Linked DNA regions of Oryctolagus cuniculus. The protein of the gene in region 2 purifies or fractionates together with the protein of the main gene of each other region. This does not show direct contact. Links are inferred from orthologs where the notes say so. Each region holds a gene or a part of one and is shown on either strand. Other genes may lie near its edges.

Region 1 (4,855 bases), on a different chromosome or scaffold from region 2:
TTCGGGAAGCTCCGCGAAGCCCTGAGGCGGAGCAGCGAGATGCTGGTGAAGAAGCTGCAGGGGGGTGGCCCCCAGGAACCGCCCAACCCCAGGTGAGCCCCTAACCGAGCGAGCCCCTCAGGACCACCCTGCTAAGCCCCTTGAGCCCCTGCCACCCGCCCAGGCCCCACCCCCGGCGCCAGGGCGGCTCCCCTCCCCCACCCTGCCCCAGCTCCCCCGCAGACCAGGGCGCCCTCTTCCCTCAGGATGAAGCGGGCCAGCTCCCTCAACTTCCTCAACAAGAGCGTGGAGGAGCCAGCCCAGGTAGGGGCGGGTGGCCGTCTGTGCCCCGGGCGCGTCCCTGCCCGCCTGCTCGGGCCTGTGCGACGGTGGGTGCCAGCGTGCACGCAGCCCTGACCCGCAGGAGCTCACCAGGGCCCCCTCTGTCCGCAGCCTGGCGGCGCGGGGCTCTCTGACAGCCGCACCCTCAGCTCCAGTTCCATGGACCTCTCCCGACGGAGCTCCCTCGTGGGCTAAGCCTGAAGGGGCAGCCAGTTGCCAGAGCCGCCCCCCGGCACAGCCCCAGCGCTCGCATGGGCCCGCTGCTCGTCCCGCCTGCCCAGCCCCAGGACCCCTGTCTTTTCTGTTCAATCTCAGGGTAACCTCCCCGCGTCGTCCCAGCCTGAGCCCTGGAGGCCGGCCTGGCTGCCCAGCGCTGCCCCGTATTTATTCTCTCCAGCAGAGCCCCTTGCCAGGCCCGTGGGAGGGGCTGGCTGCTCGCCTCGCCCAGATCCGGAGCCCGGAACACTAAGCCCCGCCCTCCCCCGGCCGTTGCTTCTGTATATAGAGAAATAAGTTATTGGCCGCGCCCCTGCCCTCCGTCCCGGTACTCCCGGCCCTTCTCTAGTGGTACCGCCCAGGCCTTAATCACCCCCATCGCGCGCGGAGTATCTCCCGCGAGCGGCGCCGCCCCGCAGGGCTCCCTGACCTGCTCCCGCCCCTCCCGGCCTCCAGGGGACGCCACCAGCTCGCCATCGCCCGGTGTCCCGGGACGGAGAGCCCGGAGCCCTCCTCGCCCGCCGGCCCCGCGCCGCGCCCGGCCTTATGCACTGCCCCGCCGGGGCGCCGCCTCCGCGCCTGCAGCTTCCCGCCGGGGCCGGAGGGCTCCCCAGCTGGGGTGGGGTGAGGCGGTCGCGCCATTTTCAGATGTAACTGGAGAAATAAAGACGTTTGAATCTGTGCTGGGCTTGTTTTGAGACGGAGGCCGCGGGTGCCCCAGGCTGGGATGGGTGGGAGAGGCTGCGCGTGTCTCCCACGGGGGCCAGGCCCTCTGCCCCAGCCCAGTTGTGGGGGGCGCTGCTCGGCTCGGGGTTTCTTCGAGAGCCTTCGCTCCTTCGCCCCAGACGGCCCGGTCTTTAACGAGATCGGCCGTCCTCGGGTTTGACCTTGAGCGAGTTTCCCGAGCCCCGGTTTTTTTTTTCCACCTATAAAACTAGTGTGAGGACATCCTCCTGGGCCCGTGGCTGTGCGTGAGGAGCTCTGACTAGTGCATGACCGGCGCCACCTTCCCACGCAGAGCTCCCAACCTGGGAGCCGAAGAGGGAGAAGGCGGGTGCGCCAGCCCGAGCCGTCCTCGGCCCGCGGCTACCAGGAAGCGGACTACAAGCTCCAGAAGGCAGTGCGCGGCAGGACAGGCGTGGGCTCGCAGCGACGCCTGCGCCGTGGGGGGTGGCGAGTCGGGCACCGTGGGGGACTACAAGTTCCAGTAAGCAGCGCGGCGAGGCCCCTGTCGGGACCGTGTGCGCCTGCGCGTCGCGGGCGGGGCCTCAGGGGCGGAGCGGCCACCATCTTGGAACGGGAGGCGGAGCAGAGCCGACTGGGAGCGACCGAGCGGGCCGCCGCCGCCGCCATGAACCCCGAATAGTGAGTGAGCCCCGCCCGCGCCGTCTGGCGCAGCCTCGGTCCCGAGTACGGGGCTGTACGCGTTCCGGAGTTGTCTGGCCCGGGTCAGGACTGTGCGGCGCCCCCACATCCGGGTCCCTCTACCACTGACACCCCCCCCCCACACATACACACATCCGGGTCCCGCCCCTCCCCCCGGGGGCCCAGGACCCCGTCTTGACACCCCCGAGTCCTCGAAGCGGGGGCCCGAAGCGGCAGCCCCAAGGGCAGCGCTGGGAGCCGCGCGGCCGGCGCGCAGGCCTCCGCGGTCAGGTGACCCGGCAGCCCCGGCGTCCCCAGGCCTCAGTTTCCCCGGCTGTGCGGAGCCTGTCACGCCGGTTTCTGGGTTCAGACTCGGCTCTTTTGGGTCGGGCTCTTGGCGAAGAAGAGCAGCGCCTGGGGTGTGGAGCTTGGCGGAGAGGGGGCTCAGAGCCCTGGAGGCAAGCGAGAAGCGAAGTCGATTAAGCCCCGCAAAAGTGCGCTCGGGCGGGATCCGAGCGGCCCAGCCCCTGGGCGCGGGGCGGTGGTCCTCCGTCGTCTGTCTGAACCGAGAGGTGCGGCTCCCGGAGGATGGGCAGGGGGCTGCCCGGGAAGGCGGGGCGCGGGCTGTCCCGGCGGAGTCGGGATTCCGGCGTGGTGGAGGAATTCCTGGAAAGCGTGGGGAGCCCGTGTGAGCCCCCTGCGGCCGTGAGGATTTCGAAGGTGGCTCGGAAGGCCGGCTTCCACGTTGTCTCTGCGGCCCCTGGAGTGCAGGTGTGCCAGCCCTGGGGCCCTGCCCGCGCCCGCCTCCCCGGTCTGGGGCCGAGGCTGGCCAGGCGCAGGGCCCGGGGCGGCGCTTGGTCCCGTCTCCCGCGCCTCGCGCTCGCGGGGTCTCCCGCGCCTCGTCCCGCCTTTGCCACCCTGCTTTCGCTGTCCCGCTGCTGCCGGGCCCGGGCGCCGTGGCGCGGCCTTTGCCTCGCGGCGCCGGCTCTGGGCCTCGCTGCCGGCTCGGCTCTGCACTCGGACTTCCCCGCGGTGCGCTCTGCTTCCTCTCTGCCGCTTCCCTCTTCTGCCCCAGCTGGAGGCTGCAGGTTTCCCCGGGCAGCGCCCCCCGGGCCGCGGTGCGGGGTGGGTGAGACCCCGCCTTGGGGCCCCCTCGCAGCTCAGTCTCCTCCCTGGCCTGGGGTCTCTTCGTGGCGACTTCAGCTGTGCGCGCAGCTTTGTCACTGAGCAGGTTCCGGGCTGAGCTCAGCTTTCCCTCTGGGGCCTGCCCTGCCAAGCCACTGGACGGGCCGGGAAGGTCTGGAGTCCTGGGAAAAGTCCCAGCGGCGGCACCGGGCTCTGGTTCACAGCATCCCGCCCTTCAGCGCCCGGCGCCCTGTCGCGTCCAGGGCAGCGCTCCCCCAGCCAGGCCTGGCGGGAGATCTGGGGGGCCGCGGCCGCGAGCCCAGGGTGGCAGCAGTGCGCTGCCTGCCCTCACACTCTCTCTTCTCTTCCCAGTGACTACCTGTTTAAGCTGCTTTTGATCGGCGACTCGGGCGTGGGCAAGTCGTGCCTACTCCTGCGGTTTGCTGTGAGTAGAAGCTCCCGTCCCCCAGCCTGGGGTCCCAGCTGGCAGCGGGGGGAAGGGCCCCCCAGAGCACAGTGGCTGCGAGACCTGGGGACCCAGGGTGAAGTCGTGGGACCCACCAGTCACACATCAGACTAAATGGCACAGGGCCCAAACGTTGGGGTGCTGAGAACTGGGGCTCCCCTGTGCCCCACTGGGGCCCCGTGGCTGAGGCGCTGCGCTGGCCCCGGCCCTAGGATGACACGTACACGGAGAGCTACATCAGCACCATCGGGGTGGACTTCAAGATCCGCACCATCGAGCTGGACGGCAAGACCATCAAACTCCAGATCGTGAGTGTCGCCCGAGGGCCCCGGGGAGGGGGCTGCGGCCTGGGCCGCGGGCCGACTGTGCTGCTCGCTTGTCTGCAGTGGGACACAGCCGGCCAGGAGCGGTTCCGGACCATCACCTCCAGCTACTACCGGGGGGCCCACGGCATCATCGTGGTGTATGACGTCACCGACCAGGTACTCCGGGGCTCCCTGTCGCCAGCTGTGCCTCCCTGCCTTAGTCCGAGATTCGCACGTCATCCTGGCCTCTGCCCTGACAGGGGACTGACTGTGTGCAGGCTCACGTGCAGGGAGGCCAGCCTTCCAGAACCCTGATGCAGGGGCTCGGTGGGACCAGGCCGCAGCTTCCCCTCCGCGCCAGACTCGCCCCTCGGGGTTTTAGTCAGCTGGGTGGCCGCGGTGCTGGACCTGTGGCTTCCTGTGTGAGACAGGGGCGGCACTTGGAGGGCCCTTGACCAGGAGGCCCGGGAGCCCGGTGTGAGCAAGAGCCCAGGCTGTGCGTCTGCTCTCACGCCGCTGGCAGCAGCCGGAGACGGTCTGTCCCCTTGCGACACTCATGCGAGGGCTGTGTCCCAGGAGGCCGTGGGCTCAGGACGGCGGGGGCCCTGGGCGAGTCCTCCAGCTTGTGGAGGGCAGGGGCAGGAAGCGCAGTCTTTCCCTCCCCCCCCGCCCCAAACCTGCCGCTGCGTGGGGTCCAGCCCCAGGCGGAAGGGGTCCCTGCTCCCAAGGGCAGCTGCTCTTTTTTTAAGACTTATTTATTTATTTATTTGAAAGACAAAGTTGGCAGAGAGAGAGAGGTTTTCCATCCGCTGGTTCACTCCCCAGATGGCCGCAATGGTAGGAGCTGTGCTGATCCGAAGCCAGGAGCCAGGAGCTTCTTCTGGGTCTCCCTTGTGGGTGCAGGGGCCCAAGGACTTGGGTCATCTTCCAGTGCTTTCCTGGGTCATAGCAGAGAGCTGGATCAGAAGTAGAGCAGCCGGGTCTCGAACCAGCGGCCATTTGGGATGCCGGCACTGCAGGCGGCGGCTTTACCCTTACGCCACCACGCCAGCGCTGG
Region 2 (4,124 bases):
AGTACTGTTTCCTTCATTTGATACTGCAGATCAGTATAAGACCTTTATGAACTAGTTTAACAGACTCACAGGTCCTGATACCAGACCTGGTCTGTATATCACTATTCTAAACAACTGCATAATTTGCAATATAGAAAATAATTATTGGAGGTTGGCATTCTGCTACTTGTGACAATGGCATCCCACATTAGAGTACCAGTTCTATTCCTGGTTGCTCCACTTCCACGCTAGCTCCCTGCTATAATGTGCTTGGGAAGGCAGTAGAAAATGGCCTAATTACTCAGGCCCCCATAACACACATAGGAGACCTGAATGGAGTTCAGGCTCCTAAAGCTTCAGCTGGCCCAGCATTGGCCATTGTGATCACTTTGGGGAGTGAACCAGCAGGCAGAAAATCAGTCTCTCTCCCCGTTTTTCTCTGTCACCCTGCCTTTCAAATAAGTAAATCTTAAAAAATTAGTACCAGACTCCCTATATATTTTTTTAAGATCTTCACAAATCCAGGGAACTGCCTGTTTTAATATAAACCTTAAATGCAAAATAATAATAATAGTTATAATACAGGCAAGATTTAGGGCTGAAACTCAATTCCTGATATGAATCAGAGAAATAAAATTTTTCTAGCACATTTTTAAAATCAAATAAGTGTTTGTATAAAAGCAGCTGTGTCATCAGCTCAAAAACAGTGTAATCAGTTCAACAATTACCTACTGTGAATGGGGACTTTTGTGTTTACCTTGTCTAGTCCATTAATTCCAAAAGGAAGGAAACGAAGGTCCAGAGAGATGCAACAAGTGTTAGATAAGGCACTGGGGCCAGCGCTGTGGCGCAGCGGGTTAAAGCCCCGGTCTGAGGCGCTGGCTTCCCATACGGGCGCCGGTTCTAGTCCTGGCTGCTCTTCTTCTGATCCAGCTCTCTGCTATGGCCTGGGAAAGCAGTGGAAGATGGCCCAAGTTCTTGGGCTTTGACTTCTGCACCCACATAGGAGACCTGGAGGAAGCTCCTGGCTCCTGGCTCCTGGCTCCTGGCTTCGGATTGGCACAGCTCTGGCCATTGCGGCCATCTGGGGAGTGAACCAATGGATGGAAGACCTCTCTCTCTTTCTACCTCTGCCTCTCTCTGTAACTCTGTCTTTCAAATAAATAAAATAAATCTTTAAAAAAAAAAAGATAAGGCTCCTAGTCAACAACGTAAGCTGCAGGATCACTAGAAGCTGAAAGTATCACATGTCCCCCACATGTACACTTAAGTCTATTCACTATAATACAGCATACAAAATTAGGAATTTCAGATGAAATCCAATGTAAATTACATCTAACAAAATCTTATAAACATCTGCTGGTCTTCAATACTCACCTGACTTTCGATTGACTTGGTTTTGTGGAATAATGATCTGGCAGGAGTTGGCATCGTTGGTATTCTTGATGGGATGACTAAGAATGCAGATAACTCTTATCACCTGGCCCACTTTCTCCACCCGATCTTTTACATAGCTGGGGTCACAGATGAGCTGCTTACAGCGAGCAATCTGTAAGAAAACATTGAAGGGGCTGGATCTGTGGTGCTGGCATCCCATCTGGGTACCAGTTTAAGTCTCAGTTGCTCCACTTCTGATCCAGCTTCCTGCTGATGGCCTGGAAAAGCAGCACAAGATGGCCCAAGTGTTTGGACCCCTGCACCCACATGGGAGATCCAGAAGAATCTCCTGGTTCCTGGCTTCAGTAGGTCCAGCTCTGGCCATTGAGGCCATTTGGAGAGTGAACCACAGCGGTTCCTGGCTTCAGTAGGTCCAGCTCTGGCCATTGAGGCCATTTGGGGAGTGAACCACAGCGGATGGAAGACCTGTCTCTCTCTGTCCCTCTGTAACCCTGTCTCAAGTAAATAAATACATCTTTAAAAAAAAAAAAAAACTTTATAAAGAAGACAAATTGATGGAAACAACTGATTGGAAGAGTTAATACTGTTAACATGTCAAAAACCTGTCCTGAAATGTATATTGATTCTCAAGGAATTGAATTTAAGAATAACCTAAACAATATTGAACAAGTCTTGAAAATTCACTAAAAAGCTACAGTAGTCCAGTGTGGAATTAACATAAAAGCATATGGACTAATGTAACAAAAAAGAAAGCCCCAAATAAACCTGCTTATCCACAAATAATTTGACAAAGGTACCCAGACCAGTCTACAGAAAAGATAACTATTTCAACAAATGCTACTATATGGAAATTGTATCCACATGTAAAAGGATGAGGTCAACTCTTGTCTAACACCATATACAAAAATCAAAATAGATCAAGAGACCTAACATCATAAAACTGTTAGAAGAAAACATAAGGCAAAGGTTTCAAGACCTTGGATTTGGAAATTTCTTGGACACAACAAAATGAAATGGGTTATTTGATCCCACAAATATTTTAATTTTTGTGTATCAAGAAACACTATAAAGAGGCAACCCATAAAATGGGAGAAAATTTGCAAATGATATGCCTGATAATGGATTAATATCCATATTATACCAAGAACTACTACATCCCAACAACAAAAAAACCAACCTTATTCAAAAAATGTGGAAAGGATTTGAATGTATCTTTTCCCAAAGACATTAGGCTCATAAGCATATGTAAGATGCTAACCATCACTAATCATTAGGGAAATGCAAATCAAAACTACAATGATACACCACATCTCATACTCATCAGGATAGCTACTATCAAAAATGTTGGCAAGGGCCGGCGCCACGGCTCACTAGGCTAATCCTCCGCCTTGTGGCGCGGGCACACTGGGTTCTAGTCCCGGCTGGGGCGCCGGATTCTGTCCCGGTTGCCCCTCTTCCGGGCCAGCTCTCTGCCGTGGCCAGGGAGTGCAGTGGAGGATGGCCCAAGTGCTTGGGCCCTGCACCCCATGGGAGACCAGGAGAAGCACCTGGCTCCTGGCTTTGGATCAGCGCGGTGCGCCGGCCGCAGCGGCCATTGGAGGGTGAAACAACGGCAAAAGGAAGACCTTTCTCTCTCTCTCTCTCTCTCTCTCACTGTCCAAAAAAAAAAAAAAAAATGTTGGCAAGAATGTGAAGAAATTATGCACTGTTGACAGGAATGTAAAAATGGTATACTTCTATGGAAAACAGTAATGTTTGTCAAAATACTAAAAAAGACTTACCATATGATCCAACAATTCAACTCCTGCATATAAACCCATAACTGAAAGCAGGAGCTTGAGATTTATTTACACACCCATTCACAGCAGCATTACAAAAGCTAAAATATGGAAGCAACCCAGATGTTCTAATGATAGATAAATAAGAAAAAATAGTATATATCCACACAATGGAATACAAATGTACTTCAAAGTGTTTATGGGAAAAGGGATTAACAGCTGAATTTGGTTTGGCCCAAAAATTTCAAAATCCATTCATAGCTTTTTCTTATTCCCATGAAGTTTATGAATTCTCCTTATATTATTTTAGCCTTAAACAGGACACATGCTACAACACAGGTAAAACCTTAAATGCATTACAGTAAGTGAAATAAACCATTCAAAACCAAATAGTATATGATTCCACTTATCTGTTAATACTTAGCAGTCATAATCATGGAATTTATCATGAATATTTACTGTTTAATACGTAGAGTTTCAGTTCTACAAGGTGAAAAGAGTTGTAGGGGAGCACTGTGGATCATCAAGTTAAACTGCGGTCTGAAGTGCCTGCATGCTATACGGGTGCAGGATGGAATTCTGGCTCTTCAACTTCCAATCCAGCTCCCTGCTAACGTGCCTGGGCAAGCAGCAAAGAATGGTCCCAGCACCCACAAGGGAGACCTGGAATAAGCTTTTGGCCCCTGGCTTCAGCCTGGCCCAGCCTCAACTGTTGCAGCCATTTGAGTAGTGAGTGAACCAGTGAATGAAAAGATCTTTAATTCTATCTTTCAAATAAATAATTAAAAAAAAAAGTTATAGATTTGGGTTGCGGTGATAATTATACAAAAACATCTATGAATATATTTAAAATCAGTGACTCACTTAAAAAAAATTTTTTTTTATATTTTATTTATTTGAGAGGTAGAGTTAGAGAGGGAAAGACAGATAGAAAGGTCTTCCATCTGCTGGTTCACTCCCGAAGTGACT
Region 3 (4,895 bases), on a different chromosome or scaffold from region 2:
GCACACTCCAAGCCTAGGTGTAAAGAACCAGACCTTTGCTATGACCGAGGGGATGCTTCCTGTGACGTGGACGAGCTCATTAAGTGTGGTCAGCTGCACTAGGGTGGGCCTTGTCCAGCCTGCTGAGAACAGCACAGGAGCTGGGGAGGGAGTGGCCCGCCCACTGTGTCCTCTGCAGTGTAGTCACCTGTGGATGGGGTGAGACTTGGGCAAATGGATATGGCTGCTAGAGATGGGACTATGTCCATGTCTGTGTTTGCAGTCAAGCGGACACTTTGCTGAAATGGTCTCACCACTCACCTGACCAACTTCAGTTCAACTACAAAGCGTTACGGTTTAGGAGCATAAATTCTGCTATTTGAAGACAGCAGCGTGCCACCACTTCCTGTTGGGGCTCTGGGACTAAATAAGAGGCATGGGCTTTTCCCCTCCTCCACATCAAACGAAGACGTGGCCCATGGCCTCTTCTTACCATCTCCACCACGCAGAAAATACAAAGACCCACAGCTCCCAGGAGATGCACCCCAATGAACGCCTACCTCCTCTTCTAAACTGTCAGAGGACACTGGGTTTCAGGCTTGAACAGCCTCAATCTTCCAAAGAACCTCGTTTCCATCACAAAAAAAAAAAAAAAAAAATCTCATGAAAAGTAATTTCTTAAAGCTACTCTTTTGAAATGAAGAAGATACCCTTACAGGAAATGTGGGACAAAAATGAAGGGGAAAAAAAGAGAAAACTGACCAAACTACTCGAAGCAACCAAAACTTATCCCAGGAGCTCGGCAGGGACAGCATCCGAGAGATCTGCTCACTCTCCAGGCGGGAGGACGCCTCTGGGAGGGTCACACACAGGAAGCGCGGAAGGCCACCCACTCGCGTGATAAAGCTCACGGTCTGCACTGCAGAGTGCGCTCATCAGTGGGATGGAGTTTCGTGGGGGTTTTGGAAGGAGTGCCCGTGTCCAACGTTAACGCCGTCAGTTGCTGTATCAGCTCCCACCAGATCTCTTAGGAAAACACTTGAGAGATGACATTTAGAATCTGCTTCCTCAGAAAAGAAAAAGTCCCACTCAAGACTGACTGCCAAGAACTTGCAAACTCAAACTTCCCCACGCCCAGACATCACAACACCAAGGAGGTTTCAGGCTGTTCAATCCGTACGAAAGAGGCCGGAGTCAAGCAGCAAACCGTAGGTTCTCTCGGTCTTGAACTGAAGAGGGCTCCATACTCAGGTACTTTTTTTTTTTTTTTTAAGGCAATTATCCTCACAAACACAAGTACATAAACACACTTATTACCAAAGTACAAGCTTTCCATTATTTCCCAATCCAGAAACTCATGCAGAGAAATATTTTAAGAACCATTTAAGAGATGTCTAAATTAGCTACTTCTAGAGGCCAGAAACATCTCCCAGACGGCCCAAAACCGATTCTTAAAGTACTTAATCTACTGTAGCCATTTAACTACAGAAGTGAGGTTAAGGACGCTTGTACAGCCGGGTAAAACCAACTTCGCTCCGCTTTTCAGTTTCTGATAAGTTAGAGATCTTTTTACCCGAACCCATTTCTTCCAGTAAAAAGGGAGGAAAAAATTAGTGTTGCATCAGTTGGAAGTAATTGGGGTACCGGTATATTGCAGGTTGTGATTGATTTAACAAGTCATCATTAGAACCGAAACAAAATATACAGAGTGGCAACAGAAAGCAAGATCAATTCCTTGGTTCAGAAGTTGTTAAGCATTCAAGTTCCCAATTAAAAAAAAAAAAAATCCAGCCGCGTTGCTTCTCAGGAGACAAGAAGGGGCGAGCCCTATTTTCCTGACCACATCACTCCCCGAAGTCAGCAATCCCCTTAACGCCCGTGCACACTGGGAACAACTCAATGCTCCACAGATAGCATTCCATCAGTAGTCACTTTCTGCTTTCTCCTGCACTGGACCCAAAGCAGCAGAGACGACGGTAAGCCGGAGCACCCAGTAAGACCGCGAAGTCCCGCACCCCTCTCACTGCCCACCTTGTCCGCCTCGCCTGCCCGCTGCTGCGTTCCCTTTCCACCCGCACCCCGCCCGCCTTTACTTTTCCAACCAGGTAGCCTCATCCCCCCTTCCTCCCCGCAACTCTTCTCCTGCCTGCAGTTCTCCTCGGCCTCCCCCCGCCCCCCAATCTCTGCCCGCACCTCTGCAGCCACCCCCCCGCGCGCGCCCTCCCCTCCGGATCATTCATTCCCCTCAGCCCCCTTCTCCCCGCCGGGTCCTCACCTCCGTCCCTTGTGTCCTCTGCCCGCCCCTCTCGTTCCCCCAACCCTTCCATTTCCCCTTCACATTTCCTTTCTCTTTCCTGCCCTCTAATCCATTCGCACATCCACGAGCCCCTTCTCGCTCTCCGCGGGATCCCCGTGTCCCCTCCTCACTCTGTCCCGCTGGGACCCTCCCTGTCAGCCCCCGCGCGCCCCCGTCGCCCCAGTCCTCCCAGTCCTGGCTCCTCGGGTTCGCCTTCCCCTGCCCTGGCCCCCAAGTTCCCCCTTCACGCCCAGGGCGCACGTCCCCCGCGCGCCCCTCTCCCTCACGCTGTCGCCCTCTCGCACGGCTCCCGCCGCCCCGCGGTCTCCGCTCCGGGGGCTCCCAAGCCCCTCGGTCGTCCCTCCGGCCCCTTCGTACCCACCCTCCAGGTCTCACCCCCGTCCCGGGCCGCAGCCCCTCCCTCACCGATGGTGGAGATGAAGGTGGTGTTGAAGGCGTCCTCGGAGAAGCGGAACAGGAGGCAGGTCTTGCCCACCCCCGAGTCGCCGATGAGCAGCAGCTTGAACAGATAATCGTACGTCTTCGCCATCTTCTCGCTCCGGCCCTCTGACCGGGGAGCTCGAGGAGGCGGCGGGGAGAAGCGAGGAGGGGGCCGCGGGAGAGGGGGCGTGCCCGCCGCGCCGCCACTCGCCCCGCCCCGTGCCCCGCCCCGCCCCTCGGAGAAGGCCTGCGCTCCCCGCCCCGCGTAGCCAATCCGCGAACGCTTCGTCATCACCGCCCGCGCCCCAGGGGCTTCATGGGATTTGTAGTCTCTCTGGCGGGGCGCTCGGGCGTGCCCAGCGCGGACAGTCCAAGCGACCCCAGCAGATAAAAGATGTCTGGGTGGGGTGACCGGGTGGAGTAGGCGGTGCCGCTGGAGCTGGGAAGGGAGGCTCCGTTTCGAACTCTGCTCTCGTCGCGCCGCCGGAATGGAACTCCGTTGTTTCTTTGTGTGCGGAATCTGTCTCGCAGTTCCCACATCTCTTCCGCCGGGACCCTGAGTGGAGATGCTCGTTTTCCTCGGGGCTGCCAGGACGCAGCCTGCGATTCTGGGCCGGGTGTGTTATTCGTCTGCTCCCCCGGCTCGCATCCGCAGCAATGCCCTTGCGCCCCCTCCGCAGCCCCTCGGCCCCGGAGCTGGGCGGGAGAGACCCCCGTGCTCACCGGAACCTTCCTCTGGCCCCTTTCTCCACGTCTCAGGCCAGAGCCAAAGTCTACTCCTCCCGGAGAGCATGGGCCACGCAGGCCGCTCCCTGCGCCCTGCAAATCCGAGAAGGCTCGTGCCACACATCTGCGCCCTGCAAAATTTCGGGCCTCGTGTCCTGAGAATTTAGAGGATAAGACTTTGTTTCCGTCTGGGCTCCGTCTCCTAGCTGCTGTGACAAGGCACGCGGGCTGCACGGCGGCAAGGTGTATTGAAAACATGCTACTTTGGAGGTGTGCAGAGAACATTAAATGAGATCCTGAAAAAAAGTGAAAGCACTTTGTTCCGTTCATCCCCCATCACTCATTGGTGACAAATGACGAGGGAATACTGTTATATGCGACTCAACTCTTTATTGCACATCGTCTGACTCATTCCTCCGTTTTATGAATCCACTACTGAGTCCTCTTTAATTCGCTCGTGGTAGAAACCCCTCCTGGAAAGGGGAGTTTACTGGTGCAGGTAATGTGGAAGAGAGAAGCTAGGGAGGCCCGGCCTGGGAGCTGCATCCTGGAGGGGCTTCCTCACTCTCCTCCCACCTTAGTTTTAATTTCTAAAAGGGGTGTGGGCGCTGTTGGTAGGGGGTTAAAGCTGGGGCCTGCAGCACCTGCATCCCATATGCGCACAGGTTTGAGTCCTGGCTGCTCCACTTCTAATCCAGCTCCCCGCTGATGCGCCTGGGAAAGCAGTGGAAGATGGCCCAGGTCCTTGGGCCCCTGCACCCACGTGGGAGACCTGGAAGAAGCTGCTGGCTCCTGGCTTTGGATAGGTCCAGCTCCGGCCATTGTGGCCATTTGGGGAGTGAACCTGCTGATGGAAGACCTCTTTCTCTACCCCTCTCTGTAACTCTGTCTTTCAAATAAATAAAAAATAAATATTTTGTTTAAAATGTCTAAAACGGCAAATTCAACAGGTAAAACCCACATGACAGTAGCTCCTTGGAATCCACAAAGATATTTAAGAGAATAAAGGGGTCTTGAGATCAACAATGATAAATATTTGAGAAACACTGGCCCAGACACCTACCCTTCAGGGGTGGGGAATTTCCAGCCCCCACCTGTAAGGCGCATGAGAAATGAAATCACGTGGTCTGGCTCTGCCAAGGCAACAGCAAGCGAGACTCAAAATGCAACAAATCTATAATAGCGGGCTGATTTTTAAGTTGGTGATTTTATATGGCCTGTGAATGAGGTTATAAATATCCAAATGGCCCTGGGCAGGAGAAAGGTTCCCCAGTCCTGCAGGGAAACACCTTCTGGAAGGCTAGCAGTATTAAGGGAGCCAGTGGACTCAGTGGAATAAGAGGAAGACACAGAATGGTTAGCTGAAGAAGACAGCAGCTTCTAAGATGCATCTTGAGTGCGTGCACAATGCCACTGATACTCCAAGCTCAGTCCTATTGTGGCAGAGACTTAG
Region 4 (4,448 bases), on a different chromosome or scaffold from region 2:
AGCATAAAGGCAGCAAAGCAGTGAGTTGGAAAGTGAGGCTCCTGGTGCAGGGCAACACCTCCCATACCCGAAAAGGCTTCTTGTTGAACAGGGAGCGTTGGCCCTGGGTACCCTAACCCATGAGCCTTCAGAGACACTTGGACCTTTAAGGCCTGATACCTTTGGGAGAACCTCGGGAGTCTGCTTCCTGCCTTTCCAGCAAGAAGCTGTCAGAGGAGGAGTATGGGAAGAGCATTTGGTACCAGAGTTCATTTTCCCCTAGGATGCTCACGGTCCTGAGCTGGGGAGCAGCCCCCTCATCTTACAGAGGAGTAACTCAGGCTGAGTGTGTGGCTGCCTTTCTAAGTAGCTAGCTGGGATCCAAATCTGGATCCATGAGACCTTTCTGTCTTGCAGAACTGAATGACTTTCCTTCCATTAAGCCACACTGTGGAATGTCTGGGAAGCTCAGGATCTGAACAACAGGCCTGACTCACAGGCCCAGGCACGACAGACGCGGTCAGGCCTACCAGGCCCCCTTATTATCTAAGCAGGGCTTGCCCCTGCTGCACAGGCTGAGTGCTCTCCTTGCCTTCCTCTGCACCTAGTAGGAATGGTGAGCTTTGTAGTGCCCCGACCCCAGCCTCTCACTGAAGAACAGCAAAGAACCTCTTGTTTCTCCAAGGGCTCCTCTGCAACCCGGGGCTGAGGTTCCTTGGTTTCCAAAGGAAAGTAAGAGATAGGAGGAGCCTTAGTATAGAAGTGAGGCCAGGCCGGTGCTCTCAGAGCTAGGTGTCTTGACACCGGGTCCACACAGCAGGGAAAGGGGCTGAGTGTGAGTCACAGTGCACTGACTTTATTTACAGATCAGAAGCCACTTAAGTAATCTGCAGATACAAGTGTTGTCCAGGGCAGAAGCCTGGGGTCCAGATCGGTCCTTAGCCCTCCTCATGCCCACAGCCAGCCCACACTGCCTCCGTTCCATGGGCCAGCACAGGCCGGTGCCACCTCTGCTGCCATGGGGACCTGGGGTAGCTCAGACGTTGGACCACCTGAGCCCAGACAAAAGCTGGGTCCAGCCCCCTGGGGAATTCCACTATTCCCCAGGCCAGGTGAGTGGCGAGTCAGTGATGACAACAGCTGTAGAAGTAGGGGTTTGCCTTCTGGCCCAGATCCACGCCCTTGTCCTCTGTGAAAGAGAGGTGGCAGCTTAGCACCTAGCTCCGTGGACGGGGTCAGGCGGGGCTCGGCGGGGCTCGACGCCCCGGCTGAGAGGCGGTCCGGGGGAGCACACACCTGTCATCACTTGGAAGGCAGCCACGCTGACGTAATCCTCGGCCACTTTCTGGAAGAGCTCGTCTGACAGGAAGAGAGGGCCGGTGAGGGCCCAGAGGGCTCGTCTACTCTACTGCCTGGGGTGCCCCTGCCCGTTCCTGCTGCGAGGCCCCAGGACCAGCACTCACCCACACTCTGGCCTGTCTTGCTAGACGTTTCAAAGAGCTGAGCTTTGATATCTGTAAAGAGAAGTGACGAAGCCTCACACCTGAGAATCCAGTAGACAAAGAGGGAGCCTAGCAGTTCAGAGTCTCCCAGACCCCAAAGATGCAAGGAAGCCAAGCAGGTACCTTGCCTGTAGCCCACCCAAGCAGCCACTCCCCGCCCGCATCCCACCCCCTCAGGGGCTGAGCAGCAGCTACTGTCTGCATAGTCCTGGACATCGTGGAAGTCCACACGCCGCCGCCGCCGGTCCTCCTCCAGCAGGTCGCTCTTGGTGCCACACAGGTAGATCTGACAGCCCTGGAGCAGAAGCCAAGGTCAGGGTGGGCTCCACGGACCCACTGAGCTCCCACCCCCAGGCCCCCATCCAGCCAGGTGTGGCCACCCACCTCCTCCAGGCTACGCAGCTCCTTCACCCAGAACTTGGCTCGCTCAAAGCTGTTGCTGTCCGTAAGGTCTTGGCGTGGGGCATGCAGGAAAGGCGAGCGAGGGTCAGGGGTTGTTCTGAGGCCCGCCAGGCACCCACACCTTGCTTGAGGAATAGGCCAGAACCCCTCTTACCATAGCAGACGATGGCAGCCTTGGCGCCCCGATAGTAGATCCTGCTCATGGCCTCATAGCGTTCAGAGCCTGCTGTGTCCTGAAAATCAGGGGAGGACTGAGCCCCGGCCTGGGTTACCAGGCTAGAATCCCCCATGACTGCAAAGCAAGCCCCAGCCTCCAGAAGGGGAAACCAGGGCCTGGGGCTGGGCAGTGGCCTCGGGGGCCCAGGTCAGAGCCCCCCTCTGCAGACCTCGCGAACGGGGTGCCCAGGAAACTTACCCAAATCCCTAGAGTCACCGTCCGATCTCCTACAGACATCACCTTGGCCACGAAGGCAGCCCCGATGGTCTGCAACGAGGGGCAGGCGGTCAGGTCGGCGGGAGCGTGCCGGCCCCTCCCCGCGCGGCCGCCCCGAGCTGGCGCACTCACGTTCTGATAGGGCCCCACCAAGAAGCGGTCGTGCACGTAGCGCTCCACCAGGCTCGTCTTGCCCACGTACTCCTTGCCCAGCATCACCACCTTGAGGTCCACGCGGGGCCCGCTCATGCTCCTGGGGCCGCCTCACCCACGGCGGGGTCCTGAGGCACACCCGACCTCCGCTCGGCCCCTAACCCCACGCGCTAGCCCGGCGCTCGAGGCCCCGCGTCAGGCCAGAGCTCGGCCCCCGTCCTCCCCGTCTGCCTCCGCTCTTCTGCCTGCCCCGAGCGCCGGGTATCTTCGGAGAGCCCAAGACCCCGGCCGGCCTGCGAGCGCGCGGGCCAGCGAACCTTGGCCGCGCCGCACGCCGCCGTCCCGCGCTCGCCCTCCGGGTCGCCCGCCCGCCGGCCCGGCTGGGACTCCCGCTCGGGGTAGGCTTCCCAACTGAACCCGGAGTCCCCCCTGAACCCTGCTCTGACCCGCAGCGAGCGCCGCGACTCCGGAGGGAGGGGCGCTAGGCCGAGGGGGCGGAGCCGAGAGGTCACGTGGACGGCGCCGGAAGTGGTGGACTGTGCCGCCGCGCCGGAAGTGGCGCGCGGCTGGCCAGCTCCTCATGGCGGCGGCGGGCAGCGGCTTGGGCGCGGCGCGGAGGTGACTGACCTGAGCTGCGAGCCTGGCGGGCGTGCGCCGAGCCCCGGCCCGGCCTCCGCGTGCCCCCGGGCTCCGCACGCCTGATGCTGTGCGGACGCTGAGTCCGCCCCGGCCGGACTAACGATGGTGAAGTATTTCCTGGGCCAGAGCGTGCTCCGAAGTTCCTGGGACCAAGTATTCGCTGCCTTTTGGCAGCGATACCCGAATCCCTATAGGTACGTGACTCTGGGAAGAGCAACCCCCGGCACCATCTCCGCCCTGTCGAGATCGAAGTGCGGGCGATCCCCCCAAGTAATGGGGCTAAGGGGAACCGCGGATCGAGGCCGACATAGGGCTTTCCGGAATCGTGACCGCCTTAAGGGCAGCAGGCCTTATCTAGGAAGTGGCCGGGCCGGACTCGGAAGGCCCTGGGAGGTGGCTGGGCCTGGGCACTGGTTTGCCAAGGCCCTCTCTGTGGACGTTGGGACGGGAAGAGACGGCCGCACGGGCCCTGGGAGGGATCTTGGGGCTGCAAGTCAGGCACTTGCCCATGGGTCTGCCCGTGCAGGAAGTCACGAGGCCCCGCCCTGCCGGGAAGCCAGGAATCCAGGTCAGTGAGGTAGGGCAGCAGTTGGAATTTGCCCTGGGATAGTCTGAGCCACAGCCCAGATCACTGGGCGAGATTGCAGGGGTGGCGCGCTGGGCAGGGCTGCCCCAAGTGGGAACCCCAACGGGGAGCTTCCCTGGGGGCAGGTTCCCGATGGTCACCTGCACTCTGACACCTGCAGCAAACATGTCTTGACTGAAGACATAGTCCACCGGGAGGTGACCCCTGACCGGAAGCTCCTGTCCCGTCGACTCCTGACCAAGACTAACAGGATGCCCCGCTGGGCAGAGCGACTATTTCCTGCCAATGTTGCTCACTCGGTGTACATCCTGGAGGACTCTATAGTGGACCCACAGAATAAGACCATGACCACCTTCACCTGGAACATCAACCACGCCCGGCTGATGGTGAGACCTCCCCGGGGCCCCTACCCCCACCCCCCGAAGCACACTGCTCAGGAGCAGGTGGCTAGGGAACCGAGGCAGATTCCTGAGGACCGGGTGGCCCGGAGCCTGCCCTGCCCCTGCCCTGACTCAGCCGTGCCCTGGGGGAGAGGCACCTGTTTCAGGAAACTGCGTGACGCGCCTTTGGGTGGGGCCTGCAGGAGTGATGCTGAGGGTGGGCGTCCATCAGATGGCGGCCTTGCGTGCACCTCGGGGAGCGGCTATGGCCCCTTGCTCCACTTTCTTTTTTTTTTTTTTTCTTTCAAGATTCATTTTTTTTTATCTGAAAGGCAGAGTTCCATCTGCTAGTTCAGTCCCTAACTGGCCGCGAT
Region 5 (4,698 bases), about 10 Mb from region 2:
AGAGGCGGGAGGGGAGCGCTTCGTCCGCCCGCCCCGCCGGCTTGCGCACCGTTACCTGTTGCCCTCGTCTCTGTCGTTAACTCTGCTTCTCCGACGCAGGAGAAGGAGGCGAATCCTGTACGCGTCCCCCCTCGCTGGCAGCCCTGTGGAGCTCCCCGAGTTCCTCCTCCACGATGCTGCCACGGAACTGGGGTCGAACCTCCAGCCCGTTCCCGCGCCCGTCGGAGGACGTCTGGAGCACCTGGCGCCTCATGGCTGAGTAGGAAAGAAATCGCTTCATTTCTGAAGCGGACGGCGGCTTTCCGCCACCTCCGGAGCCCAAAATCCGAGAAAACGAGCCGTCTGGCCACCACGTCCCCGCAAGGCAGGTCCGCGGTCTCCAACTCCTCAGCTCCGGATGACGGTCGCCGAGCAACCGCCGCCATGCGCCAGTGGGCGGGGCCGCCGCGCACGCGCAGAACCTCCCACCTCCCCCGCCCAGCTGCAACCAGACTTGGGTGGGTCTTTGCTAAGGAAAAACATCAATCATTTGAAAAGCAGTGTTTATACTCAGCTGGAGATAGAGTGGCTTGAAACTGCAGAATTCTGAAGGCCTACAACGCCTCTGAAAATGTCTAAAAAAAAAATGTTTCAGCTCCTTATCTTTCAGTTTATTTCCCTTCCACATCACCTTTGTTCCACTTGTTATATATTAATGTTAGCCGTCGCAAAGCACACCGGACACCGGAGTAAGGGAAAGGGTTTACTGGAGAACACCCTACAGACCGGAGTGAAGGGGCTGCGAAGGAAAAAGAGAGAAAGAGAATATAAGAGAGAAACAGAGAGGAGAGGAGCTAGCAAGGAGAGAAGATAGAGCAGAGCCAAGAGAGAAGAACCAAGAGCCAAGAGACCAGAGGAGGAGGCTAGAGAGAGGAACCGAGAGAGAGCAAGAGAGAAGGGCCAAGAGAGCAGGGAGCAGAGCCCAAGAGAGCACGTGTTCAGGAACAGGCCCTTTTAAAACTTTGCCTGAGGGCGGGCAGGGAAGCAGGAGCAGCGAATCCCATTAGGATGGGGGTGGAGCCTGGCTCAGGTAGCTGGGCCATGTGGCCACCTGGCTAAAACTGTGCCAGTTTCCTAACACTATCAAAGTAGGCAGGTTCCATACGAAGCGGTAGCTTCTGACTCCAGATTCCTGCTAATGTGCCCCCCCCCGGGGGGGGGTAGTGGAGATGGCTCCAGTTACTGAGTTCCTGCCACCCACATGGAGACCCGAATTGGGATCCTGGCTCCCCTCTTGGCCTCAGCTCAGCCACCGCCCTTGTGGACATCGGGGGAGTGAACCAGTGGATGGAAGCTGTGCGTATTGGCGCGCGCCCTGTGCGCCCGCGCGCGCCTGTGCGCCTCGCCCGGCCTCCCCATGCGCACGCGCGGCCGCGGGAGGGGGGGCCTGGCTCCTCCTTCTCCTCCTCCTCCTGCTCCTCCTCCTCCAGCTCCAGGCCCGGGCCGGAGGAGGGCCGAGGGCCGAGGGCCGTGCGCCTGCGCGGAGCCGGAGTCCTATAGGGCCGCGGCGGTGCGGGTGGGCGGTTGCCTTGGGGACCGGTCCGGCCCCTCCCTCCTCGGGTTCCCCACCCACCCCGCTCCACGCCCCTCGCCGTCTGGACGCGCGGCACACAGACCTCCCGGCCCTCCCTTCCCGCCGCTCACCCCAGCTGCAGCCGTGACCCGGCCAGAGGCCGTGCCGCTCCCAAGATGTCGCAGACGGCCATGTCCGAAACCTACGGTAGGAGGCCCGGGGGACGAGCGGGCTCGGGTCTCTGCGGCGTGGGGACCCGAACCTGCGCTCGGGGAGAGGTCTCGGGGGGCGTCGGGGGCTCGGGCCCGGGATCTGCGGGGAGCGCGAGCGTTGGGGCCGCGGGCGGGGGGCTCGGGGGTCTCTGGGTGGGAACGCGAGGCTGTGAACGGCCTGTTTACGTGATCTGCTTTTCCAAGTTTCCTCCGCGCTGGTACCCTGAGTGTTTTTCCTCTCTGGGTAGCTTGAGATTCGCCTGCGGCTGTGACGTTAGCCCCTGCGAAGGGGGCGACTTCTGGATTTCAGCGAGCTCCTCGGGATGTTCCAGTTTTGACCTTTTCGGATTTGGATTTACTGTCTTTGCCGTGGGATTAAAGGAGGAGTTAGCAATAGATTAATCTATCTCTTCCTCCCAGATAACTCTTGCTTTATTTATAGCCTCTCTAGGTTGCATTTGGCTAGTTACAAGGGGGCTCGTCTATTCTTTTAAGATCGTAAACGCCTTGGAATCGGCGCCTTGTTAAAAAAAAAAAAATTTTTTTTTCTGTCCTGCATAGTCAGGATCAACAACTTGTACCTTTTATTAGTGTTGAGTAAATGTTTATCAACCCGGACTCTTTCAAATGTGTACAGTCTCAGATTAAGACTTTGATTTGGAGTTTTACAGCCCCAGGGAGAGGCTCAAATTCAAAAGAAAATGTATCCCTCAAGCCAGATCCGCCTGTCACCATCTGTCCTGGCCTGCCGCTCCTTCCCGGCAACAGATAACGTGTGCAGGGCATTAGGGGAGCAGGCGTCAGGCTTGGAAGGCTGTGAGCTCCTGGAGACACAGCAGAGGCGGCTCTGGCCGGGTGGAGTTTGCCTTCTTGGCGGGGAGTCCCGTGTGAATCCGGTTGGGGTGCTGCTGAGTGAGTCCAGGCCAGGCAGGAGCCCTGAAGAAATGTGCCTGTTTGTTAGGATGAGAGCTGGCCCGCACTGGGCAGTCAGACGGTCACCTGGCAGGTGCCCAGACCTGTGGAAAAGGCATTTCAAGCAGGGCGAGGAGAGAGGGCCTGGTGGGAGGTTTCCAGCTCCCTCCTAAGACAGGTGGTAAGCTTGCAAAGGTTTCTGCTCCAAGGTCGAGGTGCAGTGGGGCCGCTTTAGCGATTCTTGTGACTGGCACTGCCCTGTTCTTGGTGACACTGTAGCATGGCCGCTGTTCTTAGAAGGCCTCGGAAATCTTCCAGGAAACCTGCTGGGTTTGTCAAGACCAGCGTTGCCAGAGCTGCCGGGTCTCCTGTGAGGGGTGGCCATGCGCTGCTCTTCTTCCCATGGAGAACTGCAGTCAGAAATGGCTTTAAAACATTATCTCTCTGCTTATTTGAAAAGGCAGAATTACAGAGGGAGAGGGAGAAATCCTCCATCCGCTGGTTCAGCTCCCCAAATGGCCACAACACCCAGTGCCGGGCCATGCTGAAGCCAGGAGCCAGGAGTTTCATCTGGGTCTCCCATGTGGGTGCAGGGGCCCAAGCACTTGAGCCACCTCCCGCTTTTTTCTAGATACATTAGCAGAGAGCTGGAAGTGGAGCAGCCGGGTCTCGAACCGCCACCCAAATGGGATGCTTGTGCAGGCAGCAAGGCAGCCCCCCAAAAGTATCCTACGGAAAATGTGTTCCAAGCAATTTGTGGTTGTATCTTTGCAGTTGTTTATATGCAAGTGCTTATTTGTCCACCCCTCCCCCATTTTTTTTTTCTTTGACCTGGGTAAGCAGCACTAGATAAGGCTGAAAAGTCTTAATGAGGGAACCATGGGGAGGTTGTGAATTACTAAGAAAGCATGGGAAGACCTTGCTTTCATTTTCCTTGTGTGAAGTGGTAACAGCTGATAGAATACAGCCCACCTTTGCTTGCCCTGCCTCACTCTGCACAGGGATCTTGGAAGTTGCAAGCCTCACCCAGGAACTGGTTAAAATCCTGATGCTCAGGCTTCGGCCATTAATGTTCTTATTTCATGCACTTTCAAAAAAACAAGCTTTCACTATTTACTAATTGTGAATTTAGTATTTTCTAAATGAGACATAAAGAGCCAGTGCCGTGAATGCACTGTTAGTGTGCGGGAGCCACCTGCTCATGAGCACGTTAGAGCAGTGTTCCACTTCCCATAGACCTGAGTCGGGTCCAGCCCTGTGTTGTTGGGAAGCCACTAACCACAGGAGTACAATGCTGTAGTGTATGTCATACTGTAATGCACAGTTGAAATGCTAAACAGATGTCAGCGTGGACCCTTCAGTCTGAGTGTCACTAACCTGGAACAAGGTACTCCCACATGTGTTTAGATTCAAGCGATCCAAAAGTGCTGGCCCGTTAGTGTTGCCCGGGACTCCCCCATGGAACCCCTCTGAGACCCAGGAGGCCACAGTTTGGCGGTGCGTGATTCCTGGTGCCAAGAACTGATGCTAGTGCTGAACTGTAAATGTGGAGGGGAAATGCCAGGCTTCTTTTTTAAAAATTTAAATGCTAAGGCAGTTTAAGGAGAAATCCGAGACAAATCTCTATAGAAACACAGCTCAAGTTGCTGGGCCCATGCCAACTTAATTACATTGTCTTCCTTTTTTTTTTTTTTTTTTTTAAGATTTATTCATTTATTTGAAAGAGTTACACAGAGAGAGGAGAGGCAGAGAGAGAGAGAGAGGTCTTCCATCCGATGGTTCACTCCCCAATTGGCCGCAATGGCCAGAACTGCGCCGATCCGAAGCCAGGAGCCAGGAGCTTCTTCCAGGTCTCCCACGTGGGTGCAGGGACCCAAGCACTTGGGCCATCCTCCACTGCTTTCCCAGTCCATAGCAGAGACCTGGATCGGAAGTGGAGCAGCTGGGACAGGAACCGGTGCCCATATGGGATGCCAGCACTGTAAGCGGTAGCTTTACCTGCTATGCCACAGCGCCAGCGCC
Region 6 (4,808 bases), on a different chromosome or scaffold from region 2:
CCTAGAGCTATGACCATGACTTATGCAACATCAGAACAGGCCTTTCAGGATGCAGTGCCACAGATACCATTCACAGATGCCATATTATGCTCTTCTAGTAACTGGGGAGGTGCTGAAAGACGAGCTAGTTAGTCAAGGGTTCAAATCATCTTCATTGCACAATGTTGACCGAGCACTCACAGGATACCTTAGCCCAGGTACACTCCAAAGACAATATTCATGCCTTCACAGCAGGACTGTAAGTTGTAAATTATAAACTGCAAAGCATCCCTTATTCTGGGGAAAAAGCAACGATCAAGGGGAGAGGGGTTGGTTTTAGACGCTTTCCAGAAACTAACTATGATCTGGGATTTTACCAAAGCATGCTTAAGAGGATCTGCTGCAGAGGGCAACAACCAGCTCAGGTTGTGGTCTTTCACCGGAACTTTGTATAAGAACTGACATTCTGGGGCCAGCATTGTATTGTACGCAGCACAGAGGGTCAAGGCACAGGCAGCAGGTTAAGCTGCCACTTGCAATGCTGAGTCTCCTTTTGAACAGCTAGTCTGAACCCAGGCTGCTCTGCTTCCAATCCTTATTTACTAATGCAGGGGATGATGGCCCAAGTACTTAGCCCCTGATACTCTCTTGCGAGACCAGGAAGGAGCTGAAGCCTCTTGGCAGCATAGGCCAGGCCCTGCCATTGCAGCCATTTGGGAAGTGAGTCAGTGGATGGAAGAAATATTGTTACTCTGCCTTTTGAATAAATACATCTTTAAAAAGAATTCCCAGTCTTGTACAAGTTACACAATCTCTGTGCTTCGAGCGCGTTACCTGTAAAGCAGGCACGCCTCATTCATTAATCCCAAAGCCATGCCTGAAGATTCTTAGCTGCCTGGCCACGTGCTAGCCAGGTTCACAGAGGTGAGGACCAGTTTGGGAAGTTAGTGTTAATGTGCCCACACGACGATTCACAAGCTGGTTTCACAAAGACTTGTACCTACTGTAAAACGTTTAGTACTGTAACTCCCAAAGGGAAATCTGAACAACAGGTTTGCTTAACATGTACCCTACCAAAAACAGGTAAGCGCTTCTTACGTGCCAACTGTTTTAATGCTTTGCCACTAAAGACGGCTTTAGGATGCAGAGGGTCCTAGCTTCCTGCCGGCGGTACAAACGACTTACCTTCCTTTACAGACACACCTGGCCTCAGGGACACAGTAGGCGTGTCTCCTGTTACAACCTCCCTCAAAAAAACCCCTTAGGCCAAGTCACCAGGATTGGGGTGGTGCGGGGCGGGATGGAGGGGACTGTGAGCTCACACTTACAACAAAGGGCTGGGCGCAACAAACTCAAGCGCCTTAGGTCTTCCCCCAAAGCAGGGCAGCACGGGATACCCCACCCAGCCCCAGTCACAGGAGCCCAGAGGCCTCCGCCCTGCTGACAAAAGAGCTGCGAGGGCGCGGTCGCGCGCAACCGGCGTGGCGCAGACACAACAAGGCAGTAAAACCCGCCCCAGCGCAGAGCCACGTGACAGCCCGCCGCGCCCCGCCCCCTCCCCGGTAGGGCTGGGTGCGCCTCGAGAGGGGCGGGGAAGCGGATGGGGCGGGACGGACTGGCGCCGACCGGAAGTGACGAAGCGGCGTCTCTCGCTGCGCGCAGCGACGTGGCGGCGGGGCCGGCGCCCGGCTGCGGAAGTGGCTCCCGCGTTGGGACTTGAGTGTTTGTGTTTTGGTTCTTGAAGGAGCCGGCGGCCGGCCTGAGGGGAGGAGGCGGAGGAGGGAGGAGGAGGAGGAGGAAGAATTCGTCGGAACTTGAGCGCCGGCGGCGGAGGAGGAGAAAGGAAAGAGAAAGGCGGAGCGCGGAGAGGCGGAGACGGAGCCCGGCAGGGGCGGCACCACGGCTCCAGCCCCGCACGGTCCGGTGTGAGGCGAGCGACGCGAGGAGACGCCGCCGTCGCCGCCACAGCCTCCGCTTCGCTGCCGTCCTTCGGGCCACGCTTGCTCCCTGCCGCCAGCAAGCTGCGGTGCCGCGGCCCCGCGTGCCGCAGCCGCAGGTAACCAGACCAGCCTTCCCCTGTGCAGAGCGGGTCTGGAGCTGGGCTGAGCCGCGGTCTCCATCCTGCCCGCGGCTGTGCGGGCGGCGGGGCCCCCAGCACGTCCTCCCCGACTTGCGCCCGTCTCCGGGACCACAGAGCTACCGCACCCGGGCCTGTCGGCCTGCCAGCCCTGGTGACTCATGCCGCCAGGGGTTCTGGTGGAGACCGCGATTTGGGGACTGGGTGAGGGAGCCGACGGGTGTCACCCTCTTCCCTTCTCAAGATGGCGCCGCGGAAAGAGTACCGGAGGCCGTGGTTCCGCCCGGCCTCTCCAGACAGCCCGGGGGTCCCAGGGAGAGCCGTGCAGGTTTAAGGGAGGAGGGTGGCGGGACGGCCCAGAGCCCTGGCGGGTACTGTTTGTTCGGGCGATCCGGAGTCGGCTCTCAGCTGCTCAGGTGTTGCAAGCAGGGACCGGGGCCTAGGGCAGGTGTGGATCTGGGGAGCTCCGCCTACCTTCGAAAGATGGGTAATGGAAGGGCTGGGAGGCTCAGCCAGACAACCGCTCTGGAGACTGGCAGGTGGCGAGCCGCAGCTTTAAGGAAATTAAAGGTAACTGGGCCGCCGTACAGCTCCCTTGGTGGGTAAACCAGGAGACCTGCCCTGATGCTGTCTTCCCTGGGAACTGGTCAGCCCCTCGAGACTTTCAGACTTTTTAAGCTCCTAGCATCCTAGTTTACGTATTTGATTTTTTTTGGCCTGGCTTAAGTGGAATCAAACTGTTACACTACTCCGGGAATATTCTGGACTCCTCAGAAACTTTGTTCTTTTCACTGTCGAATGCAGATAGTTTGAACACTTAGGGTTGTTGTAAGCAAAGTACTTGGTAACCATGCCAGGCACAGAATGAGTACCCAGTGATTTTTTGATCAAAGAGGACCTAAAAAGAGCAAAAGAGCACTACAGAACACTAGTTATTTCCAAGTTTAAAAATGCATACAATGCAAAGTCCTTGTTTGGCAAAACTGGGAGAATTCTCAGTAAGTGTGAATACGAGTAAATGCACGCAGTTTTTACCTTGTTAATATTACGCTGTTTTTGATTTATTTCCTGTTAGAGATCCTTGTAGCATAAGGATTCAGTGGCTTCAAAACTTAGAAGGCAAACGTAAATCACAATTTTGCTTGACTTTTTTATGGGTGTCTGGTGTTTTCCCTAAATTTTCAGAAGTACTGTAGAAATTCAGAACATGGTATCCTTGATAAATGATCAGCAGTTTTGTAGATAAGAGGCTGTTGGGAAGTGTTTCAACTATGTTTATTCCTGAAAGCGAATTGGTGCGTTTTCTGCCTATACGACATTCTATTGGTGTTTGACATGTAACCAAAGGGCCACTTTAGTTGTCCATTCAAACCCTGCTGTATGATAGGTACTGTATTAGAGATTATATATATTGTATCACGTGATTAACTGGCAACTATGCAAATTATGTAGTTTGAAAATTAAAAAATTGGCCCAGACAGAAATTGGTACTACCAGGATTAAACTCCCAAGTTTACTGTGTTTGGGACAGTATGGGGAAGTAGTTTTATTTGTACCTTATGGTGTGTGTTCGTTTGTTTTTAAGATTTATTTATTTGAAAGAGTTACACAGAGAGAGGAGAGGAGAGATCGAGAGAGGTCTTCCATCCGCTCGTCCACTCCCCAGATGGCTGCAACAGCCTAAGCTGCGCTGACTCAAAGCCAGGAGCCGGGAGCTTCTTCCTGGTCTCCCATGAGGGTTCAGGGGCCCAAGGACTTGGGCCATCTTCTGCTGGTTTCCCAGTTCATAGCAGAGAGCAGAATCAGAAGTGGAGCAGCCTGGACTCGAACCAGCACCTGTATGAGATGCCAGCACTGCAGGCGGCAGCTTTATCCTCTATGTCACAGTGCCAGCCCCTGTACCTTATGTTTGGAAGCAGCTTAAACATCATTTCATCTGTAAATATATCAGCATGTACTGTTAAAGACGCTTCAAAGCTGGAGTTTTAGATAAAGCCAAGAAGTGAACTTAATTGTCTAGAATTAAGATATCAATATATTAGTGAATTGTCAATAATATGTCTCATAAAAACTAAAATTTTATAGGGAAGGCGAATTTCTTATATGAGGTAACTCAGTGAAGTATAGCTACATTTTTAGAGAGGAAATCATATTTAGTATATTAGTAAGCATATAATCATATTTTTATTAAAGATGTGAATAGGTTGAAAAGTGCTCTTCAAATATTTGCTAATTCCTTTGAAATTGAAAATTAGCACATTTGGGAGCCTTGGTTGTGGTTGTGATGTAGCAGGTAAGCTGCCACCTTCAGTGCCAGCATCCCATATGGGTGCCTGTTCAATTCCTGGTTGCTGCACTTCCCATCCAGCTCCCTGCTGGGAAAGCTGGGAGGATGGCTCAAGTGCTTGGGCCCCTGTACCCACGTGGGAGACCTGGAAGAAGCTTTTCTGGCTCCTGGCTTCAGTTGTGGCCATTTGGGGGAGTGAACCAGCAGATGGAAGACCTGTCTCTGTCTCTCCCTCTCTCTAACTGAGCCTTTCAAATAAATCTTAAAAAAAGAAAGAAAAAAAATGAGCACTTTTAGATACTGGTAAGAAAAGAATTTGCCTTCAGGCTAGTTTTCTCCAAATGTGTTGTTTAATAGAAAATAATGGCATATATTGTAATTCCAAAAACTACAAAAAAAAGGTAGTATTAGTAAATAAGTCACTAATAGTTGCACCACATTAGAGAATAGCCATTAGCATTTCTG

Evidence for each region.
Region 1: the proteins of GDI2 (region 2) and RAB1B purify together in Homo sapiens (affinity purification with mass spectrometry; 3 studies listed by BioGRID and IntAct, counting the BioPlex papers as one, with this or other methods). This does not show direct contact. The link is inferred for Oryctolagus cuniculus from reciprocal best matches to the Homo sapiens genes GDI2 and RAB1B.
Region 3: the proteins of GDI2 (region 2) and RAB8B purify together in Homo sapiens (affinity purification with mass spectrometry; 3 studies listed by BioGRID and IntAct, with this or other methods). This does not show direct contact. The link is inferred for Oryctolagus cuniculus from reciprocal best matches to the Homo sapiens genes GDI2 and RAB8B.
Region 4: the proteins of GDI2 (region 2) and RAB24 purify together in Homo sapiens (affinity purification with mass spectrometry; 3 studies listed by BioGRID and IntAct, with this or other methods). This does not show direct contact. The link is inferred for Oryctolagus cuniculus from reciprocal best matches to the Homo sapiens genes GDI2 and RAB24.
Region 5: the proteins of GDI2 (region 2) and RAB4A purify together in Homo sapiens (co-immunoprecipitation; 3 studies listed by BioGRID and IntAct, with this or other methods). This does not show direct contact. The link is inferred for Oryctolagus cuniculus from reciprocal best matches to the Homo sapiens genes GDI2 and RAB4A.
Region 6: the proteins of GDI2 (region 2) and RAB5A purify together in Homo sapiens (affinity purification with mass spectrometry; 3 studies listed by BioGRID and IntAct, counting the BioPlex papers as one, with this or other methods). This does not show direct contact. The link is inferred for Oryctolagus cuniculus from reciprocal best matches to the Homo sapiens genes GDI2 and RAB5A.

What each region holds. Positions count from the first base shown.
Region 1 is NC_091432.1:5,574,413-5,579,267, reverse strand, and holds the start of RAB1B (ras-related protein Rab-1B), read left to right. Parts: upstream 1-1,752; 5' UTR 1,753-1,888; coding exon 1,889-1,902; intron 1,903-3,399; coding exon 3,400-3,472; intron 3,473-3,705; coding exon 3,706-3,801; intron 3,802-3,879; coding exon 3,880-3,975; intron 3,976-4,855. Other genes in the region: KLC2 (kinesin light chain 2), read left to right, coding at 1-92, 246-303, 433-516. UniProt on the Homo sapiens protein: The small GTPases Rab are key regulators of intracellular membrane trafficking, from the formation of transport vesicles to their fusion with membranes.
Region 2 is NC_091444.1:79,671,505-79,675,628, forward strand, and holds part of GDI2 (rab GDP dissociation inhibitor beta), read right to left. Parts: intron 1,529-4,124; coding exon 1,357-1,528; intron 1-1,356. UniProt on the Homo sapiens protein: GDP-dissociation inhibitor preventing the GDP to GTP exchange of most Rab proteins. By keeping these small GTPases in their inactive GDP-bound form regulates intracellular membrane trafficking.
Region 3 is NC_091443.1:86,224,315-86,229,209, reverse strand, and holds the start of RAB8B (ras-related protein Rab-8B), read right to left. Parts: upstream 2,931-4,895; 5' UTR 2,826-2,930; coding exon 2,702-2,825; intron 1-2,701. UniProt on the Homo sapiens protein: The small GTPases Rab are key regulators of intracellular membrane trafficking, from the formation of transport vesicles to their fusion with membranes.
Region 4 is NC_091437.1:63,301,695-63,306,142, forward strand, and holds RAB24 (ras-related protein Rab-24), read right to left. Parts: upstream 2,939-4,448; 5' UTR 2,566-2,938; coding exon 2,449-2,565; intron 2,368-2,448; coding exon 2,299-2,367; intron 2,117-2,298; coding exon 2,038-2,116; intron 1,934-2,037; coding exon 1,866-1,933; intron 1,777-1,865; coding exon 1,677-1,776; coding exon of another isoform or gene 1,651-1,676; intron 1,494-1,650; coding exon 1,443-1,493; intron 1,339-1,442; coding exon 1,276-1,338; intron 1,169-1,275; coding exon 1,104-1,168; 3' UTR 814-1,103; downstream 1-813. Other genes in the region: PRELID1 (PRELI domain-containing protein 1, mitochondrial), read left to right, coding at 3,211-3,302, 3,855-4,080.
Region 5 is NC_091444.1:90,047,096-90,051,793, forward strand, and holds the start of RAB4A (ras-related protein Rab-4A), read left to right. Parts: upstream 1-1,458; 5' UTR 1,459-1,728; coding exon 1,729-1,759; intron 1,760-4,698. UniProt on the Homo sapiens protein: The small GTPases Rab are key regulators of intracellular membrane trafficking, from the formation of transport vesicles to their fusion with membranes.
Region 6 is NC_091435.1:155,566,442-155,571,249, forward strand, and holds the start of RAB5A (ras-related protein Rab-5A), read left to right. Parts: upstream 1-1,526; 5' UTR 1,527-1,541; intron 1,542-1,588; exon of another isoform or gene 1,589-1,723; 5' UTR 1,724-2,035; intron 2,036-4,808. UniProt on the Homo sapiens protein: The small GTPases Rab are key regulators of intracellular membrane trafficking, from the formation of transport vesicles to their fusion with membranes.